Linked DNA regions of Drosophila melanogaster. The protein of the gene in region 2 interacts with the protein of the main gene of each other region in a pairwise test. Each region holds a gene or a part of one and is shown on either strand. Other genes may lie near its edges. The genes, in order: sip1, Nplp1, Prm and Rm62.

What was found.
Region 1: the proteins of Nplp1 (region 2) and sip1 interact in a two-hybrid assay, tested with the Drosophila melanogaster proteins (one large-scale study listed by BioGRID).
Region 3: the proteins of Nplp1 (region 2) and Prm interact in a two-hybrid assay, tested with the Drosophila melanogaster proteins (one large-scale study listed by BioGRID).
Region 4: the proteins of Nplp1 (region 2) and Rm62 interact in a two-hybrid assay, tested with the Drosophila melanogaster proteins (one large-scale study listed by BioGRID).

The regions. Positions count from the first base shown.
Region 1 is NT_033779.5:5,719,412-5,724,487, reverse strand, and holds sip1 (septin interacting protein 1), read right to left. Parts: upstream 3,438-5,076; 5' UTR 3,353-3,437; coding exon 3,244-3,352; intron 3,193-3,243; coding exon 914-3,192; intron 851-913; coding exon 719-850; 3' UTR 544-718; downstream 1-543. Other genes in the region: CG11149 (uncharacterized protein), read left to right, coding at 4,526-4,977, 5,058-5,076. UniProt on the Drosophila melanogaster protein: May be involved in pre-mRNA splicing.
Region 2 is NT_033778.4:25,030,764-25,035,411, forward strand, and holds the start of Nplp1 (Neuropeptide-like precursor 1), read left to right. Parts: upstream 1-1,613; 5' UTR 1,614-1,844; coding exon 1,845-1,916; intron 1,917-4,648.
Region 3 is NT_037436.4:8,742,256-8,746,910, forward strand, and holds the start of Prm (paramyosin), read right to left. Parts: upstream 3,056-4,655; 5' UTR 2,831-3,055; coding exon 2,708-2,830; intron 2,077-2,707; coding exon 2,020-2,076; intron 169-2,019; coding exon 82-168; intron 18-81; coding exon 1-17. UniProt on the Drosophila melanogaster protein: Paramyosin is a major structural component of many thick filaments isolated from invertebrate muscles.
Region 4 is NT_033777.3:6,005,530-6,010,211, reverse strand, and holds the start of Rm62 (Rm62), read left to right. Parts: upstream 1-1,638; 5' UTR 1,639-1,741; coding exon 1,742-2,175; intron 2,176-2,483; exon of another isoform or gene 2,484-2,766; intron 2,767-4,097; exon of another isoform or gene 4,098-4,251; coding exon of another isoform or gene 4,252-4,262; intron 4,263-4,682. UniProt on the Drosophila melanogaster protein: As an RNA helicase, unwinds RNA and alters RNA structures through ATP binding and hydrolysis. Involved in multiple cellular processes, including pre-mRNA splicing, alternative splicing, rRNA processing and miRNA processing, as well as transcription regulation.

The DNA.
Region 1 (5,076 bases), on a different chromosome or scaffold from region 2:
AATAATAATGTATAATAAATGTGCGTCAAATTAGCGACGATAGCGGAACGGTGGAAATTGGAACTCGGGGACTTTTTTTTTGCGAATTGTGTCCCGCTGATCTAAACTACCGTGTCCCTATAGGCTAATAGGCTAAGCCTAATTATATAATGATCCTGAAAAATGCTTTAAAAATTATCCACCGATTTCCAGAAATCCGCCTCACAGCGAAGGAGTTTAAATTTATTTAATAATGCCGCCTTCTCTAGCACCACAGCCAATCCATGTCATAAACCACATTATTAACAATCAAATTTCGACTTTAAAGATTTATTAATCGGTTCAACCAAAGACACTAAAGATACTTCTAGTGTACTTCTACTTCAACGCGCACGTTACAAACCCATGCTCCCACAAAATAAATATATACCGAAAAATACTGCCAGTATATTTACATCTTAAATTCATGGAGCATGCAGCTCGGACCCAAACCGTGGTGAAAAACTTGGATGTAATCATATCAATTTCAAAAATATTCAAATCCGTTTCAATTTTATACAGAATAATATATCTGATTACTTTTACATATATATTTAGACATTTGCTTATATCTGCAGAGCCATCTCATCATACAATCACCTTATATTACAAACTTATTAGGGAACAGCAAGAGCTAAGCTTCTGATCCAATCCAATTAAACATTTTCCAAGCCAATTAAACATTTTCGCAGCTATTTATTTAAAGAATTCCCGTTTGAGAGCGTTCTAGCAGATGATTTAGCGACACCGGCTTCCAGTTGCTGAAGCTGCCATCGCTGACCATGCAGACGTGACGATCGATGTAGCAAAACAGCTTTCCCACACGATAAATCTGTAAATGCAATAAATCTATTAGTATATAACGCTCTGTGGTCGAAAATGGATTAACAGTCACCTGTTTGCCCATCTCCCGTCGCCCTGGCAGAGGAGCGAAGATGATTCCCAAGTCGGCGCATTGCTGCGATACCAACTCTTTGAACTCCAGCTGAGCGGGCGGATGAATCAGGTCCATCATTATGACTGGAGCCGGAGGAACTGGAGGCGGGGGCGTGGGCGTCACCGTGGGCTGCAGCAGGGTATCGCTGGCTCTGTGCATAATTTCCAGTGCTCGCCGCAGATGCTCTTTAACGCTGGGCTCGCGCAGAAGCGGTTCGCTCAACATGCTCTTCCAGCCGGTGTACCATCGCGAGATCTCCGCGTAGTCCGGCGACTGATTCAGCCAGACGACGAGCACTTGCATCCAGCGCGGGAAGAAGTGTCTGTCCAGTAGTTGGGCCATGTACATGGGATCGATGAGCTCGTGCCACTCCCATACCTGCTGCCACAGCTCCAGGTCCTGGTGCATTGGATTGATGATGAGCTCGCCTAGAGTCGCCTGCAGTTTGGGCACTATGTACCGCTGCAGGAACTCTTGCATCTCTTCCTCGGGGAAGGCCTTCTGCCAGGGCGTAAGCATGGCTCTGGCTGATCGGTCATGCGGTGACCAGGCGCGCAATGCTATACCCAATTTGCTGCGGATCTGAGGATAGACGGCCTCCTCCAGCTTGCTGCCCAAGATGGCATGCCACGGCAGCACCCAACTGTCGATCGGAACGGTGTCGGTGAGCGGATCCCACTCCTGGACACCAGCCACCAGTCGTGGCAGAACCAGTTGCTCGAGAACCGAATCCAAGACCCAGCTAGGTAGCAGGGGTGCCCAGGCATCTAGGAGTGAAGCCATTGGCGGATGCTCCTTCGGCTGCCATGCGGCAGCGCTGGACCGAAACGAAGGCATCACGCCGGCCCAGATGAGCGAGGAGTACGGATCGAAGACGTTGCGGGGCTGCTGCTCTGCTGCATCTCCTTGCTGGAGCATGCCGCGCCATTTCTTGATGAGTGGCAGCGGTTCCGTTGGGTTTTCCAGTGGCTGCCACTGAACTAGTTCTCGCTTCAGGAGCGGCGCTATTACACCGGCTGCCAGATCTGCAAGTCCGAACTCATGGAATTCGGCAGCGTAGTCCACGAGCAGCTCCCGAAAGAGTCGTTCAGCCTGAGGTAAACTCAAGTCTGGATTATCGATTAACCGCTCCACGCGCTCCAACGATTCCTCCAGCGTGCGTATGTGGTTTCGTTCTAGCTGGACTATCTCCTCCAGTTTCCGGTGCTCGCTTTCCAGCGCTGCCTGCTGGCTGGAACACTCGCGTTCCTGGTTGTCGATGGCGATGATCTGCTGCTCGCACTGGCTAACCAAGAGCTGGAGGTTGTGCGTCAGCTCGGGCATGGCAAAAACGCAGGCGGGAGCGGATCCCTTTTCCGTCGCCTCCGTGTCGTAGAGCGTCTCCTCTGGCGTAATTTTTGCCTGTCCCAAGGCATGATAGCCACTCAGCACTCGTTTCTCTGGGCCTGTCATATCGATCACCCGCACATTGCCCAGTTTCTTGCTTAGCTTCTCCGACAGTAGGTGGCCGGACGTGTGACCCTTGGCAATCACCTCCTCCACGGACTTGTAGTAGTAGCGCTTACCCTGCCGCTCCATTGGTTCGGCGCCACCGGCTGAGCCCTTTCGCCACTTGTTCAGCTGGTCTTTGAACTCTTTCGCCTCGCGCACGTCCTCATCCACTTTGATGCTCTTGTTCGTCTTTCCTCCGATGCTTGCCGCAGTTTCGGGTCCATAGGCGCCGATAGCACCTCTGCCCTTGCGGACATGGGCTTGCACAGGATGCGAAATGCCCTGCAGATCTTTGCCCAAACCCTTGCCAGGCTCATAGCCCATTTGAAGGAGTAGCTTAGCTCCAATGCCGCGTGTATGCTGCTCCCAGGCGCCCACGTTGCGCTCGCTGGCGATGTGGGAGCGATGCTGAAATGTGGTGCTTGGCTGTTTCCGGCTCAGCGTTGGCCTCTCCTCTTCTGATGAGCTGTTGGAGCTGCCCGGATCGTTCTGGCCGAAGGCTGGCCGTCCGCTGGCGGCGGAATCGTCGCTCTCCTCGCCCTGGTCAGCCTCTGCTCCCTCTTTTTGCGATCCTTTCTCATCATCGGCTTGGAGCGCCTTCTTCTTCTTTTTGCCCGCCTGCTGAATGCCGCCGGCCACAAAATTGACGGGCATGGTGTAGTCTTTGGGTTTACGGGCGGCGCGCCCCCTTCTCTTAGTTCCGCCCTCGCCACCACTCTCCTCCTCGCTGTCATCCGCCCAAATACCTACAGAAAGTTCGTTTACAAACAAATTCCGGCATGTATTTCAATACATACCGTAGATCTGTTGGTGCCTGCTCTGGCGGCCTCGGGGCCGATTGATGTTGAACTCATTGTCCAGATCGTAGTCCGTTATCTCGAAACGCTCGTAATCGTTGTCCGACATCCTGGCTAGACGTGTATATATTACTTACAGCAGAAACTGAAACTTTTGTGAATGTAAACAAACGCACCATTGACAATAGGGATGGCCCTAAATTAGCAATTTTATCGATAAGAAAATCGATACAAAAGTACTAAATACTAACTTTAGTACACTATTAGTATCGCTTATCGGCGCCAAAATAAATTTAAATTTTTTGACAATTGAAAACCACAACTAATTGACTCAATTACCGAACTATTATTAGTTTAGTAAGTTCATTCCTAACAGAATGAGCTCCCTTTTAATTAGCATAAGTACGCAGTATGAAATACTTGAGAATCCGATTTCAAAAGAAAACTATTTTTAGAAAATTTTTTTAAAGGTATTTGATTATAGTGATAAGATATTAAAATCGATAAAGTAAGAAATACATGTTTATGCCGCCTAATCGTCTGTTGACCATATATGTATTTGGCTAACACTCGATTAGCGCTATCAATTGGTTACGTCTACTGAATTGTTATGATAAGGATAGGAAAATACGACAATATTGATAACTAGACGGATAAGAAAATCACTTGAACTATGATAGCTTCGCGGGAACTTCAGTAATTTTAGTCTGTTTCCATTATTCATCGCCGAATGTTGTCTGTCTCGTTCGTGAAATAACTTTTAATCTTAACAGAAAAAAATCCCTCAAACAATTTGCGTCGTTTCGTACGTCATAAAATGGGTTAATCTTTAATGTGCAAACTCTTGTCGATGGAAATGAAAGTGTCAGCCGGTAAAGTGAAAAGTTGTTCTCTGTGTATGGTACCATAAATGTCACCGTTTTTATCAGAGTACGTAAATCATGTTTAGTTTTACTGGGTAAAAGGAGGTAGTCATCTTCATTGTTGGGCAGCCCCATTATCAGAACATTATAAAACATCGATGAACCCCCTTGCATGCTACCACATTACATGGAATCTTATCGGATGAGTACAGCACTAATTTCAGTTCATACAATAGGCCCAGTAAATTAGACATAACTACAGACAAAAAGCTCAGTCGCTGCCATAAACTCTTCTTTCGATTTCCATATCCATTTTCAACGGAATTATATCAATATTTCTGTTTCCGTTCACAGGTCAATAAGTTCTTTGTGTTCTGTTAGTTAAGGAGTTCCTGTGAATCAATGTTCTCGAAATCAGCATGGCGACCATAAGTTTTTGCAATAGGAAATATGTCCGTCTGTGGCCAGTGCTCATACTGTTCAATGTGGCACTCCTGCTGGTTTGGAGGAACCTGCAGCAGGCCCAGAAACTGGCCGCATCTTCTAATACTGGTGGGCAAAAGTCGGTAGGACTTTTGCTGTCCAACGAGTCGAATCCCTCACGTTTTTCTGCAAACTTCCATCTCGCCAATGATCAGCATCCGAAAATAATCCGGCGAGAGGACTCCGCTCGCACCAAGGAATTGCGATCATTGCTCAAGTGCCGCGACCGATCGCTCCGTTTCGAGAGGCTTCAGCACGGAGAGTTCTGGCTGCTTCAGAATCTTGTCATGGGACGAAAGAGTCGGGAAGTCGGCTGTGCCGAGTCCGTGACGTATACCACCAACGGGGACTTTACGTTCTTCGATAATCTGGAAATGGTGGTATCACGGTGAGTGCTCTTTTATCTAATAAACACTTAATAGCAATCTATAAAGATTTCTTTGCTAACTTAATTTACTTATTTTCCAGTTGGCGTGCTCCAGTTAGT
Region 2 (4,648 bases):
ACTGTATCATTATTGCTTAGAGGACGCCTGTTCAACTCAGTATTCTATGATTGTAAGAGTACCTATTTATTTGTGCTTTTGCAGTGTAGACAAAGTCATTGTGCTATTACCCAATGATTTACCAACTGAAATGTGGGGAGTTTCAGTCCGCTTGAACCCAGAACTAGGGATGCCGGCATGTTAACCAACTCATCCTCGACTGTTGCTCTGTTGCTCTGGTCTGCTGACCAAATTTGATATGCATGGATTGGTTGAAGCAAAAGCCGACAGTACCGCTGGCTCCAACCTCCTATGTTGCAGTGCGCTGACAGGTTTCCCTGCCAGCTGTCTGTACCGGCGTGCAATCTGCTACATCCGCCGCTTCATCTGCCATCCGCCATATATCCTTCTTTTAGGAGTGACGCGGGGAAACCCCCACAGCGATTTGCTTTACTGACGTAGGCATATGATTGTGACCGCCCCTGCATTTTGTGCATTGCTCTTGCCGCACTCAGGGTTTTGGGTATAACCGGGGATCTGGTTTTAACATTTTACGCTTCATAATATGGTATTCGGAAATTGCATAAACTTAGCTTCTGCGGGAGGGGTGCAGCAATCTATCTGTTGGCATTACTTTCCGGCTTTTTGGTTATTTTATATTTTCGGAATTCTTACAGACAGGTCACTGCAACGCCATTCTAATCGGGAGTTCTTTTGTACTTCATTGAATTCCAATGCTTTTAATTTGGTTTATACGATGAAAAGATTCGAGGTTAAAAACCGAATGTAATCAATGAAAATAATAAAAATGTTTATTTTGAATAATCGAAAAGTAAATGTGATTGATAATGTATTTCCAGCCCATTGCTATCCGATAATCAGATTAAATGTAATCATACATAGTAAATACAAACACAAAAGTTAGAAAAATATTTCAACAAAGCCTATTTGTGTTTTAATTACTCTGATTAACTTCAAGTGTGATTTTAAATATTCCAATAAAGAATATTTGAAGCATATGTTTGATTCAAGGTTTTTTATTTAAGTGTTAAGTTCTGCGACGGACAGTGGCCCCGCTGAGAGCGCCAACATATGGCGTACAGCTCAAGTTCGAATTAAGAGAAACCAAAAACTCTTAGATTGGTCCCAAAGCAACCAGCGCACAGTGGATTGAACTTGCAAAGTTGAAAGAAAAATGATAAGAAAACGGTTTCGAGTAATTCAAATTATACCGAAACCCGAAAAATCGTAGCTAAGGAAGGGTTTTCTATTAATTTTTTTATTTTGGACTTGGATTCATTTTAATTTTTTTTTGGCCTGCAAACATTCTATTATATTTTCAAAATGAATCAATAATGTAACCTGCGAATACCAATTTAATATCGAAAAGCTTTGTAGCTGTGCACTGTGCTGCTGGTTGGCCTGAATACACAGAGCTTACCAAGAAGCAACAGAGCTCTGTCCTGCAGCCGCCATGACGTCATTACCTACAATAGCATCCCACGAAACAGGACACTGCACACGCAACAGAGAGGCTATAGAAGAGCAACAGTTGACGGCGCTCCGGTTTCGCTCCCGCGAGTGAGCTTATCCGGGGTGCCGCTCGGGTATATAAAGTCGAGGGTCCTGGCCAAGAGAAAGCAGTCGAGCAGACGACTTTGCGGCTAACGTTAGTGTTACGGCAGCTGGCAAACGGCAAAGCTTCGCGTCCGTGTTTCCGTTACGGTTTAAATCGGTTTGGAAGTGGGTGCTGCAAAAGGGCAGTTCAATTTGTGAGGCAGTGCGAGTGTGGTCGATCCTTTTGTCGCGTTGCAAACGAACGAAACTCACTTAACAGTTGAGCCGCCCCCAGGACGACATCCACGATGCAGGCGGTGCTCCAATCTGCGCACAGCAGCAGGCGGCTAATGCTGTTGCTCTCCATGCTGCTCAATGCCGTAAGTCCTGGGGATTATATTTTCAATTTTAAAAACTGTAGCGCTATCAACATTTTTCGGTCTTTGGGTTTCGTGGACTGTGCTTCTGCCTTCTACTAAATTTATCTTTTATGTGTTGACGTGTGCGGTGGGCCGTGAATTTTGTCGAAATTCGTTTGAGGACTGCGTGTTTTCTCGACGAACGAAAATTGAAAACGCGATATTATCCTTAGAAATCTTTCATATTTATAAAAGCTAATTAAAGAGCTGACATGCTTCTTCTTCTTCTTGCATTTCTAACCCAAAGTTTAGCATGATTACATCTCACCATTGTTCAACGAAGTCTCCGCTTTTCATAACTTGTGCTGTCAGAATACGCAAACTTGTCTACAGCTTCTAAGCTCCAGTGGCTACAAAACGAACAAATTATTTCCATTTTTCAAGGACCCCGTTCACCACGCAGTAATTTATATTGGTACAGCCACGCCCATTCAGGCATAACTTTCCGCGGGTTGTTTTACTTTTGCAAGAGATACATCTGCGGTTGCAACCTCATCCTTCTGGTCAGAACGAGCACAACACGTTTACAGTGCAGTTATTCATATGGCATTCTCACTTTTCCTTTTGGTACATTCAACCATCTCTTGCGGAATAGCTGGCATTCCTTTTGTCCCTCACTGACATATGTATGTGACATTTCTTCATTTTTCATTTCCGCGGAACTTGGCATTTCCCAGAGAGCCTTTTATGATAACTGGCTGCAGGAAAGCCACCTTTAACTACATACCTAATCAAATTGTTTTTCTAGCTATAACAAAGAAAGAACTTTCATGTCGAGCATCTCTCCTCTGTTGTCTTTTACCAAACACAAATAAAATTACATAAAATATTATTGTTGACAGTTTTTGCACGGAAAAAGCCACGGGCTATGAAAGGCTTTGACGGTCAGGAGCGGAACTTTTCATTTTAGATAAAGTTAACAGTTTAGTTCCTCAAATACTTAAATATCCTTACGTCAGTAAATCCAGCAACGTCAGAGGAAACTGCAACGTCAATGACAACTATTGTACAACATGGTTCAATGTAAACTTGCTTATGATTTCGAAGTTGCATCGCTGCATTACAGACAATGAATCAGCACTTTAATGCATATCGATGCAAACAGTTGACGTTAAATGTATGACGACAATATGAAATGACAGAAACGCGTGAGTGTGCCTTAATCTGGCATCAGACTAGATATGTGCGATTTATGATATGACTCGTCATTGTCATATGCGCAACCCAATTTAACAAACAAGAAAATCAATAAAAATAAAAATTAATCTTTTCCATGGATATCGTATACGCACGGAAAAAGGCGAATAAATATTCAAATTTTTAGTACCTTTCACTTTTTTCAGACATTTATTTACAATATTGACATGGGCTCACTTGGGAGTTAGCAAGGATTAAATTTTGTCTGAAAAGTTTCTGATTGGCTTTTGATTAGCTGCCTTTGTATATTTATTTTCGTGGTCAGTAATTGCCAAATGCCCTCGTAACCATGATATGTACACTAAAGCTCTTCCACAGAGCTTGCCTACAAAGTGATTTGGAAAAAGTTACATGTGTGTTTCATTGCAATGACCATTATTGTTAATTGAGCCATTTCCACGCAGTGGACACAAATAAAACTGAATGGAAACCAGATGTAGGGCCAATAAAATTTCTGTAGTGTGGATACAAAAAAACGCAGAGGTACTAGAACGAAAAAGATAATAATACAATTTGGGATCAACATTAAATATCGTTTATAATATCTTCCTATCATAAAAGAGAGTATTTTCAACAGAAACATTTTTATCGTATAAAATGCGGAATGCAGTACCTTTTCCCTACTTACAAATTTCCCTTCGTAAATTACATACGCGCGTGGCTCCTGACTCCTTGTTCCAGCGTTTCAGACACTCTGAATTCCAGGCAAGGTCACAGCACTTAAGTTTTAATATTGCGCACAGTATTTATTTAGGTAAAAAAAGGCAAGCAATTACGCCATTGAAATGTGGGGAAACCAGGGAGCAAGACTGCCATAATAAAATTTGCTTGCGGCTGGGCTTAGGCCACATAAGCGCCTCAACGGGCATCACGGAAAAAAATTAAATCAGAGAATGTTATCGAGCTGGAGGAAAAGAAAACATTGCCCAGATTGTGGATGGCTCTTGGCCATTGCAGTTGTGCATAATCTCACGCCCAATTAGGCTAGGATAGCAATTTGAGTCAATCGATTGGCATCGTCCACTTTTATTTGATGTGTCCTGTCACCTTTCCACTTGATTGACTTTACGATTGTTTCAATTAGGATCTTGATACTTTTTCATTTCTCCCGTCCAAATACGGCTTTATACAAATGAAATATTATATGAATTGTAAGAATCAGAAATAAGCTACGAACTTAATTCACACGCACAATGATAAGCGAATTGCTATTATCCGCTTAATCGCCTGCTTAAGAGGAGGACTGACAGGGAGGATTAAACTGGGCTGGGTTCATATTTAATAGCTTGTAAGCCACAAATATTTTACATCTCTTTCTGTTAAAGTATGCAAAATAAGGAAACAACCCCCTAAATTTTAACGCAACACAGGCTGCCATAAATGGATTCCTCGGCTATAACAGCGCACGCAGCGCAACCGTCCCCACAATAGTGTTTTTACTTGTTTGTTTAGGAAATGCTGGTGACAAAAGCTTTTTCATGCGAACGCATTCTTTA
Region 3 (4,655 bases), on a different chromosome or scaffold from region 2:
TTGCGGTTGGCTTCAAACTGGGATTGGAAGATACATCAGTTATGGCTGGATTGCAATATTGGTTTACCACATGGTACTCACTTGATGTTCAGCACCACCCTCGGCCTCCTCGAGACGCTCGGACATCTGAATGACCTGAACGCTGAGATCGGCTTTCTCGCGCTCGATCTGAAATTTGAAGAATATAAGCAGAGATTAAGAAGAGATTTCATTAGCGACTTGGTATAATGTGAAGGATCTATAAATACCCTGCGCTAGCCATGCTCTGTGGCTACTCAAACAGCCCATAATAAAAATTATAAATCACATTAATCAGTCAAAAATAATTATGCACATGCAACACCTAAAATAACAATGGCATCTTGCCAAGAAATCTTCCACGCAGAGGTGTAGCCATAGTCCGATTGCATCCACGATATATGCGTCTATATATGCGTATATATCTTTTGTGGGCGGCCGCACACCGCTTTCCTAGATTGCATTTCCAAAAAGGCATTCGAACATTTTTCGCTTGAACAGAAACATTTTTTGTTGGCTCCCTCGGAATCTAAACATTTGCTTTTCGCCTTTGTCGACGACCTCGTTTGGTCAATTTTGCGAATTGCAATTAAATGCTATTTTATGAAAGCTATGTGCGGCCATTGGGATTTCTGGTATTTGGAGCTGTCCGAAGCAATCATAAAAAATTCAGCTAACTGAAATGCCCCAAGCTTAAATAAAGAACGTATTGGTCTGATAAATCTCTTTTAAATCTCTCGCTGAATATGTTTGTACATTTATGTTTATGATAATACCTAGGCGAACATGTGTTTGTCCGTTCATTTGGCATAACAAAAAGTTGCCGATTGCCACAAAGGCCACGTAAGTACGGGCCGTAAATCCATTTGCGCCATATGTATCTTGTAGATACATGTTTTTGCCGCCTATATATGCATATGTGGATATGTAGAAAGAATGCCAGGCGGTGTGAAGACTTTTAATGTGCATGAAAATTATTTAATTTTCCCACAGACACACGCCCACAGACAAAAAGCGAAGATTTTCCCGTAGTGAGCGAGCGAATTTTCCTCTCTGCCGCCGCTGATCATGAAGATGGTGATGATGATGACTTTTTGGCTACTTTATTTTCTTTTCTTCTCTGCTCATATTTTGGTTGTTTTCAAGTTAATCATTCGCTTCTCTGTATTGAATGTCGTGCGCTAATTTTAGCCATTTTGTTCCATATATTGTGAGTGTGTGTTGGGGGGCGTTGTATCTGTGTGCGAGTGCGTGCTAATCCATAAGGCACAAAGTAATTAAATTTGATTTTTTAACAAAATTTTCAGAACATTCCTGGCCAGCCCATTCCATTCCGGCAAGAGCTCTTCGCATTTTCTAAATTTGTAACGCCCAAGAGGATTGCGCTGAATGAAGTGCACTTTCGGCCTGCGAATTTTCCCACTTTTCTCTGGCTGTTCCTGACTTTGCTGTCTTTGCGGCCGCTGTCTTTGCAAAGTCAGGGGAAAAATCATTTATCAATGCTCCGCAGGGAAGGAAAAGCCAAAAACGAAAGCGATTGAAGTTCAATGCACATCATTATCATTTACTTTCACACTTTCGAAACTCTACGAAGGGTAGTTTATTCTTAGATTTGCATTTGTTTGCTGACTTTTCTATCGGTTCTATCGCTACTGCTACTTTGGTCTATTTTGATTTTATTTTGGCTTTCCACATATTTTTGCTGTTTTTAGGGTGACATTTGCGAGGTGAAAAAAGTAAAAATGGTTTTCCCTGGCGCTTTGATTTCCATTGGGTCTCGGAGAATGCGGTCTGATCTTTTCTAACTTCCTCGGATATGTCATATCTCTGACGCCGATTTCATCAGCAAATAATCTTATTGACTAAAAACGATGCTCTCAATAAATTAAGAATGTTCAAAAATATTCCAAAGAAACCTATAGTAATACCTTAAAAATACTCGGTTCAAAAATAACTTAAAAATATTTAAAATTATGAATATTTCCATATTGAATGACTCACCCTTTGGCGCAACTCACGTTCAACTTCAAGATCATCTTGGAGCAAACGGATCTTGTCCTGCAAGAAAATGGTGGATACATTTATTGAGTTTGATCTTTTATGGGCTCGTTATTTCATATTATTTGATTAAAACATTCATTAAAAAGCACTTTACAGCACAGTTGATTGATTTCTTCACAAATTTTTCTTCGATGTTTTCTCGTGTATATGTATTGCCCAGAGGTGGCCATTACATAATTTTTTAGCAATGCATATGTATATACAGACACGTTTAGATACATATACAAATCTAGAATTTTGCTTCACCGAATTTTCTATATTTCCACACACAAGAACGCGCCGAGAACTTAACACACGAATATATATCTACGGTATATATGTGCATTTGATATAGAGTGTAGATGAATTTTTCGGGTTTCTTAGTTTGTTTTTCGTATTTTTTCTTGATTATATTCCGATTCTTTTTCAGTCTCTACACAGACACCGAAACAAGAGAGAGAAATTCTCGTAGATTTTGAAGAAAATTTGGCGCACACGCATTTCGTATTCCTATTCCCTGGTCGGAATTCCAACGTCTTTTTGGGGATTTGGTGCCCAATACGATGCCGATTTCTTAAACGATACCGGTCCGCTTCCAATTACGAATTCGAATTCGAGATTCCGAGACGGAGCGGGACGGGATCCTTACCTCCAAGCGGGAGAGCGAGCTCAGGTCCTGGATGTACTCGATGTTCACATCGGCGGTACCGGGTCCGGTGGACGTGGCACGGTAGGAGTATTTCGAGGAGCGGACAGCCTGCGATGACGACATGTTTGCTAGGTCAGATTTTCGATTTTGGTTCTATAAATTAATGTGCGATCGGTTCGCGTATCTAGTATTATGATTTGTGTGTTCCTCTCAAGCGAAAATCTATACAGCACCGCACGCAGTTTTGTAGTTGTCACCGAGTCACCGAGAAAATTCGTAATAAACGTCGGAGTAAGGCTGGTGATCTACTGAACAAGAGATCCCGTTGTCGTTCGAATAAAGAGTATTTCGTTGAATTGGTTTGGCCTGCCAGCTGAATTCGTCTATTTCAACGATTTATTCGGTTCCCTTCGGGAGCCTTCGGTCGCCGTCGGGCGCCATCGGCTCCCCGCCGATCGGATCCGAGTGGGATATACCCTGAGATATATCTATAAGCCACCACCACCACCTATGTGAATGTGAGTGGGACTTTCGAGTGACTTTTCACGCGGCCGTGTTGTTGTGTTAATTGCTCAGTTGTGTGGAAAATTCTTTGATTTTTCATTTCACTTGGGCCGAAGCTTGTGTGAACGCATTTTCACGCTAGTTTGCCTGAGAGCTTGCCCCCTACGAAAATAAACTCAAAAACACGAAGTACGCCTGCTTTTCTTGTCTTTTCTTTTCTATTGCTTACCTGTAATTAGCCTGTGTCATTTGTGCGTTTCATTTTGTGTATCTAGCGTCTGGCCAGAATGTATCTACACATAAATTTTCCCAATTCTCGAACGTACATACATATAAGTCATGTTGAAATATTTGGCATCCTCTGCAGATCATAAAGTTCATAATTTATATTTATTGGCACATTTTCTTGGTTCAGGGGCCTCGGATATTATTTAAAAGGTAGTGCCAAACCAGTATTCCAGCACGTAGTCCCTAGACTATAAAGATTGAGATATAATTCTGGGAGCAAACTTAAATAGAATGATTTGACTTTTGGAAACGGTTTCTAGAACATTAGAACATCTAGAATATTGAATACATTTAAGCGTTAGAGACTATATATGTAAATATTTGAATCGATTGATTTCAAATTGATTTAGCATATATTATTATCAAAAAGAAAAGAGGCTAGAGCATGAAACCCCAGCCAAATATAGAGCCCAAATATATATGCTATACAGATCTCAGGGGTATTACAACATTTTTACACAAGCAGAAAAATCATAAAAGTGTCAAAATTTTCTATGATATGCCTTCTAAATTATTCGCTAACAGCCAATTAGGATTACAGCAATGTTTTCTAAAAATACTTGACTTTTGGCATCGAAACGTGTTATTCGCCAGCATAAATAAATAGACGTAGAGAGTGTGTGAAAAAAAATTGTGCGAAATAAACAAAAATATACAATTTTGAGTGAATCCTTGGCCGTGCGGACAGCAGTCTGCTCAGCCTCAGACAATGCGATGTCATCTAACAATTGTTGTTCAATGGTCACGTAGATGACTGTCTCTGCATTATATCTTTTTGGCAACTGACGGGTCTCTCCATGTGCCCCCATAGTAAATACATATTGTGTAAATAATTTCTGTTACATTGCGAACACGCTTCGTTCGGCGATTTTTGGCTCACTTTTCCAAAGGAACCGAAGCTTTTCGAGTGAAAATTCTCGTTCGTCTTCGAGCGATCTCCTCCACCTGTGCTCCACACACAAACACACATTTGCCTAACTATACTTAAAAATGAATTTTCGCTTATTTTTAGCAACCGAATTTCGTGTTATTTGTGCCTTTTTTCTCGGCTTGCTCATAATCGTGTTCATTTTCCACACACATTTCACCTGAGGCCAACTGACGCACACATCTAGAGCTCTAGATGGGCTAACCATCCTTATATATTAGAGCAGTT
Region 4 (4,682 bases), on a different chromosome or scaffold from region 2:
CTTTACTGCTTGCTAATGCGGTCACTTGGTGATCACACTTATATATTTCCATACCCCAAAGGAGGATAAAATTATAACATACCTGAGAACACCCGGGATCTTTAGTCATCTTTGCAACATGCTTCGTATAAAAACGAAATTGAATATAATCTGTTTTTATTGTTAACTTCACTAAAATAGTTCGTAATGCAATTAGATATATTTATTTATAAAATTATTAATAAGAAACGTATTACTTACCGGTTTTTCATATTTCACTTTAAGAAATTGAGCAAAATCCACTTGACACGTTCTACAATCAAATGCAAATTCAGTGTTCGAAACTTTGCTAGAAGAAGGCTGTAACATTTATTCTTGTATTTTTGAACACTCCCAAGGAAAAGTGCGGCAGGGAATTTTAGTACTGAAGAAGGACATATGAACTGGATGTTTGGGTGGCTACGTGTTATCTGCTATTTTTGTCTTTATCAATTGATTTGTTAAAAATGTCACACAGCAACTCCACCTTTTGGAGAGGGTTCTCTCCGAATTTTAAAACCGATTGACCATGGCCTTTACAGTACAATTACGATATACGATAGTTCGTGGTAAGATATTTAAATAAAGTACAGTGAGGTAGTTGGTAAATTTGTAAGAGCTTACAGATACTCATTTTCATTAAAGTGCCGTAAATTTCAATTTTTGGCATTTTGAAAAATAAGTGCATTCTTTACTGGTGTTAATATATGTGGCTACTTAATCCTCCATAGATGCCATTTTATTTTCCAGCATAATATCTATATTTAGCTATTTCCAATCATAACTATGATTCTTTCAATTTAATTCGCTAAAACTCGAGTGAAATTTTCGATTTCTTTCAGACTCATTTTTTAGATGTAAGCAATAAAATTATGTGTAAATTATAAGATTTCTTTAATAAGTATTACTTTTTATAGACTTGAAATGGTCAACAAGCAAGTTCTATGAAATTTTGAAATTAATGATGAAAATTCTGTGTGTTGTACAATATTATATTTTCTTATAAATAATAGGATATATTTTTCCTTTCAGAATATTGAGCCAACCTTATTTTAATTCTTTAAAATATTAGTAAAAATGATGCGAGATTTGCGCTTTTGGTAGATTTCAAAAAATTTGTATTAATTGAAAATGTTAAATAAACCACAAATGGGGTGAGTCTTTGCTAAATGCTCAACACAGAAAGTTGTTTTATGCTTATATTTGTTAAGGTATATTTACTAATCTCCGCACAGACTACGTTTTGGTAGGCTAGGAAATTTAAGACATTTCCGAATATTAGGAGTACGGACCGACGACGAGATACATTTAAAGTTCGTTTCAGCAGAATCTTAAATATTAAAAACTTAGCGGGCAAGTAAATACACCGCGTTCAGCTGATTATCGATAGCTAGGAAATTTAAGACATTTCCGAATATTAGGAGTACGGACCGACGACGAGATATATTTAAAGTTCGTTTCAGCAGAATCTTAAATATTAAAAACTTAGCGGGCAAGTAAATACACCGCGTTCAGCTGATTATCGATAGCAACCAGGTGGTCACTCTAATAGACGTTTTCATGCGAGCCCGCTGCGGTCACACCAACTTCTCGACCGATTTTTCCCCTCCATCTAGGGTCACTCTAATTTTGGACGAGGTTAGGTAAGACACGCGCGGATGCCGCGCTGCGTAGGATAAATCCGTCATTAGCATAACCGCATTGAAGCTAAGTCTTCGGGAAAATGCTTAAGCTTGTGCAATACATAGCCCCCCGGGTGGGCGGCGCCACGCCCCGACCGACTGCCTGCGGCTGGGGCAACTTGCTATTGATTTCCCCGAGAAGTGGCGCGAGCTCCGAGAAATGTATAACGCAACGTCGCCATTTTCTTTTCTCCTCCGCCAGCAGCAGCGGCACTTTCGCTTCTTCTTCTTCGCTCTGCACCGAACAACGACAACAGTTCCACGGGAGTCGCAGGAATCGTGAGACAATACTGTTCCCAAGCACATATAGTAGTCTCCAAGCTCAGTCGCAGCGTGCGTTTCGAGACAGCTCGAAACCAGATTCAGACGACTACGTAGATTCCATCCCGAAAGCAGAGCAGCGGACGAGGACGAGGAAATCGCTTTTCAACGATCCCGACGAAAGAACTGAGGAAATCAAAATTGAAGGAGTAATGTGAGTACGCCGCAAGATTTCATATGAAATGCGTTGGTTTTTTCCACTCACTGTCGCCATTTTATCACCCTTCGTGCCATTCCTCTTTTTTTTTTTTTTTTTCTGTACACCTACGAAGCGAGGTGATGAGTAATTAGTGTGAGCGAAAGAGAGAGTTTGGGGAGAGAGAGAAAAACACATGGTTTGCTAAATTTTGTCAGTCGGAGGTGAGGTTTTCAGCCATTTGTTGTTTTTTTCTTTGTGTTTGCCCCCGCACATCCGCAAAGGAGTAGCAAAAGCAACAAGAACGACAGCGCACGTCATAAAAAGAATTTGCCTGATTTGTGAAACGTGTTCTTGCTTCGTTTGCTATTTTATAGCGTTTTAATTTGTCTGTATGCCCCGAACATGAACACGCGCACTCACACAGCGGCACATACGGACTTGCTTGTATGCGTGAATGCCTGTTGACGGCGGCATTTTCTCGTGCTCGTAGAACAGTTCGAACAGTGTGTGCGAGCGTATAACAGTCGGCGGCTGTCACTGACTAGCGCCGTCCTGCTCACTCGCCAGCATGCCTTTCCATCACATTCTTTCCATGGCTCACACGAGGTTTTGTAGAGATATCGCGATGTTTTTGGTATTGGCAATTTTATAATTTGATGTAACCATCCCGACATAGATTTATACTTACTATGCTTAATTTGGGAAGTGAATGGGGTTAATGGTTTGCTTCGTTTGGTTATCTAATGCGTACATTGAAATATATAATTTCAGTATAATTCTGTATACTGAGGACAATTTTAGGGAAAAGTAGGGTTATTCTCTTAAAATTTTCTCTACACTATAAGTAAAGGTTCCATGCAAACACATTTAACTTACAGATTATCAAAAATGCATTTTATCGATCATTTTATCTATTTTGCTACGCTCTTTTTGTGTTTACTTATCATGAACCATGCTTGTTATGCAATAAAAATTATTTATTAGAAAGTTATACTATAGTATTGATAAAAACTCAAGTAACAACCAAATATTAAATGGTAATAGTAACCCAGTTCGTGAACTACGCCATCACATAAACGGCCCCATTAGTCTAAAATGTCAAATGACGCCAATTGATTATGAGCTCCCCCTTTGGCGAGCGCGCGATTCGTCTTTTCGCATGTCAAAAAGCGACAGGTAGACACACAGAAAGTCAAAGGTGCCCCCAGGGACTGTCCCCTCCTCCCCTCGGGTGTTTGCCCACCGTTGAAACTAGGGGCAAGACATTTGGCTGTCTCATAAATGTTCAGAGCGTTCCGCTTCGCTAGTTGGGCACAAACGTTAGCGTGCCAGTGGGTCCTACAAATAGACGTTTAGGGCGGTACGGTGTTCCAAATTGACAGAGTAATAGACAAAAAAAAACGTGGGCCTGGATCGTGGGTGATTTGCATGGTGCACCCCATAGTGATGCCCACTAGGATCACGAAAATGGAGCTTACATACGAAGTAAAGCGAATATAAAGTGGAAATTTATAGAAGTTAGTTCGTAACACAATAAACATAATTTATGTTGTAAATTTTGTTTTATACAACTTTACCATCCAACTTAATCTTGCACTATATTTATTACCACATTGTATATACACTCCGCAGAGTTAATATTATTTTTCCCTAATTATTGCAAAGTGCTAACATATATAGGTCGGTACCTTCGCCAGTTCTGACTGGAACTAGAACTGCGCCAGGTTGATTAATGCCAGAGCAATAAACGCAGGGCTTTGTACATGGGGCTGTTTAGTTTAGTTGAGCATTTAGGGGCTGATAAACTGGGGTGAAAAATTGGTGGGAGGGTGGGCTGTGAATAGAAACCCTGCTCGAATTGCATGTTGTTGTCAATCAAATTTGCCTTACTGTTTGCATTATTCGAAATTTATTTAATTTCCCTAACACGCAATTAGTTTTTATTTAAGTTTATTGCGGTTGTAGCACAGCACAACTCCCATGTCAGCTGTTTAGCAGCGTCGAAAGAAATCGAAAAGCGAAGACTTACCTTCCAAGCCAAGTCGCAGTTGAAATCCAAGTCCCAACTGGCAGACGTCTAGAAACGGCAGCATGCGAGCAAAGTAAGCCAAGTCACTCGTTTCTTTTTTTCCTCAATTTTCTGTCAAAGAAATACTTAAGAAAAGAAAGTGCAGCTGTCTACGCCGAGCCGGAAAAAATGATTCCAGTTAAGCATGGTTTAATTCTCGAAGGTCCCTTTTATCAAGGGAAAATTTATGACACACAGTTTCTGGGTAATGTGTGTGCAGCGCAAAATTATTTTAGATGGCAGATAAGGAGGAATTGATTATACAAATGTACAACGCGAAATTAAAAAGTTTGTGAGAAAACTATCAAACTATATCAACTTCAGCGAAATTCGGTTACAAAGCTCAAAGTGGGATATTTTCTTAAAGATTCCACTGAATTCACGGCAGCGAAATAACAAGTCGTGAAGTCGTTCAATTTCCATGAATAAGGAAAAGGCCCTTGATACTTGACAC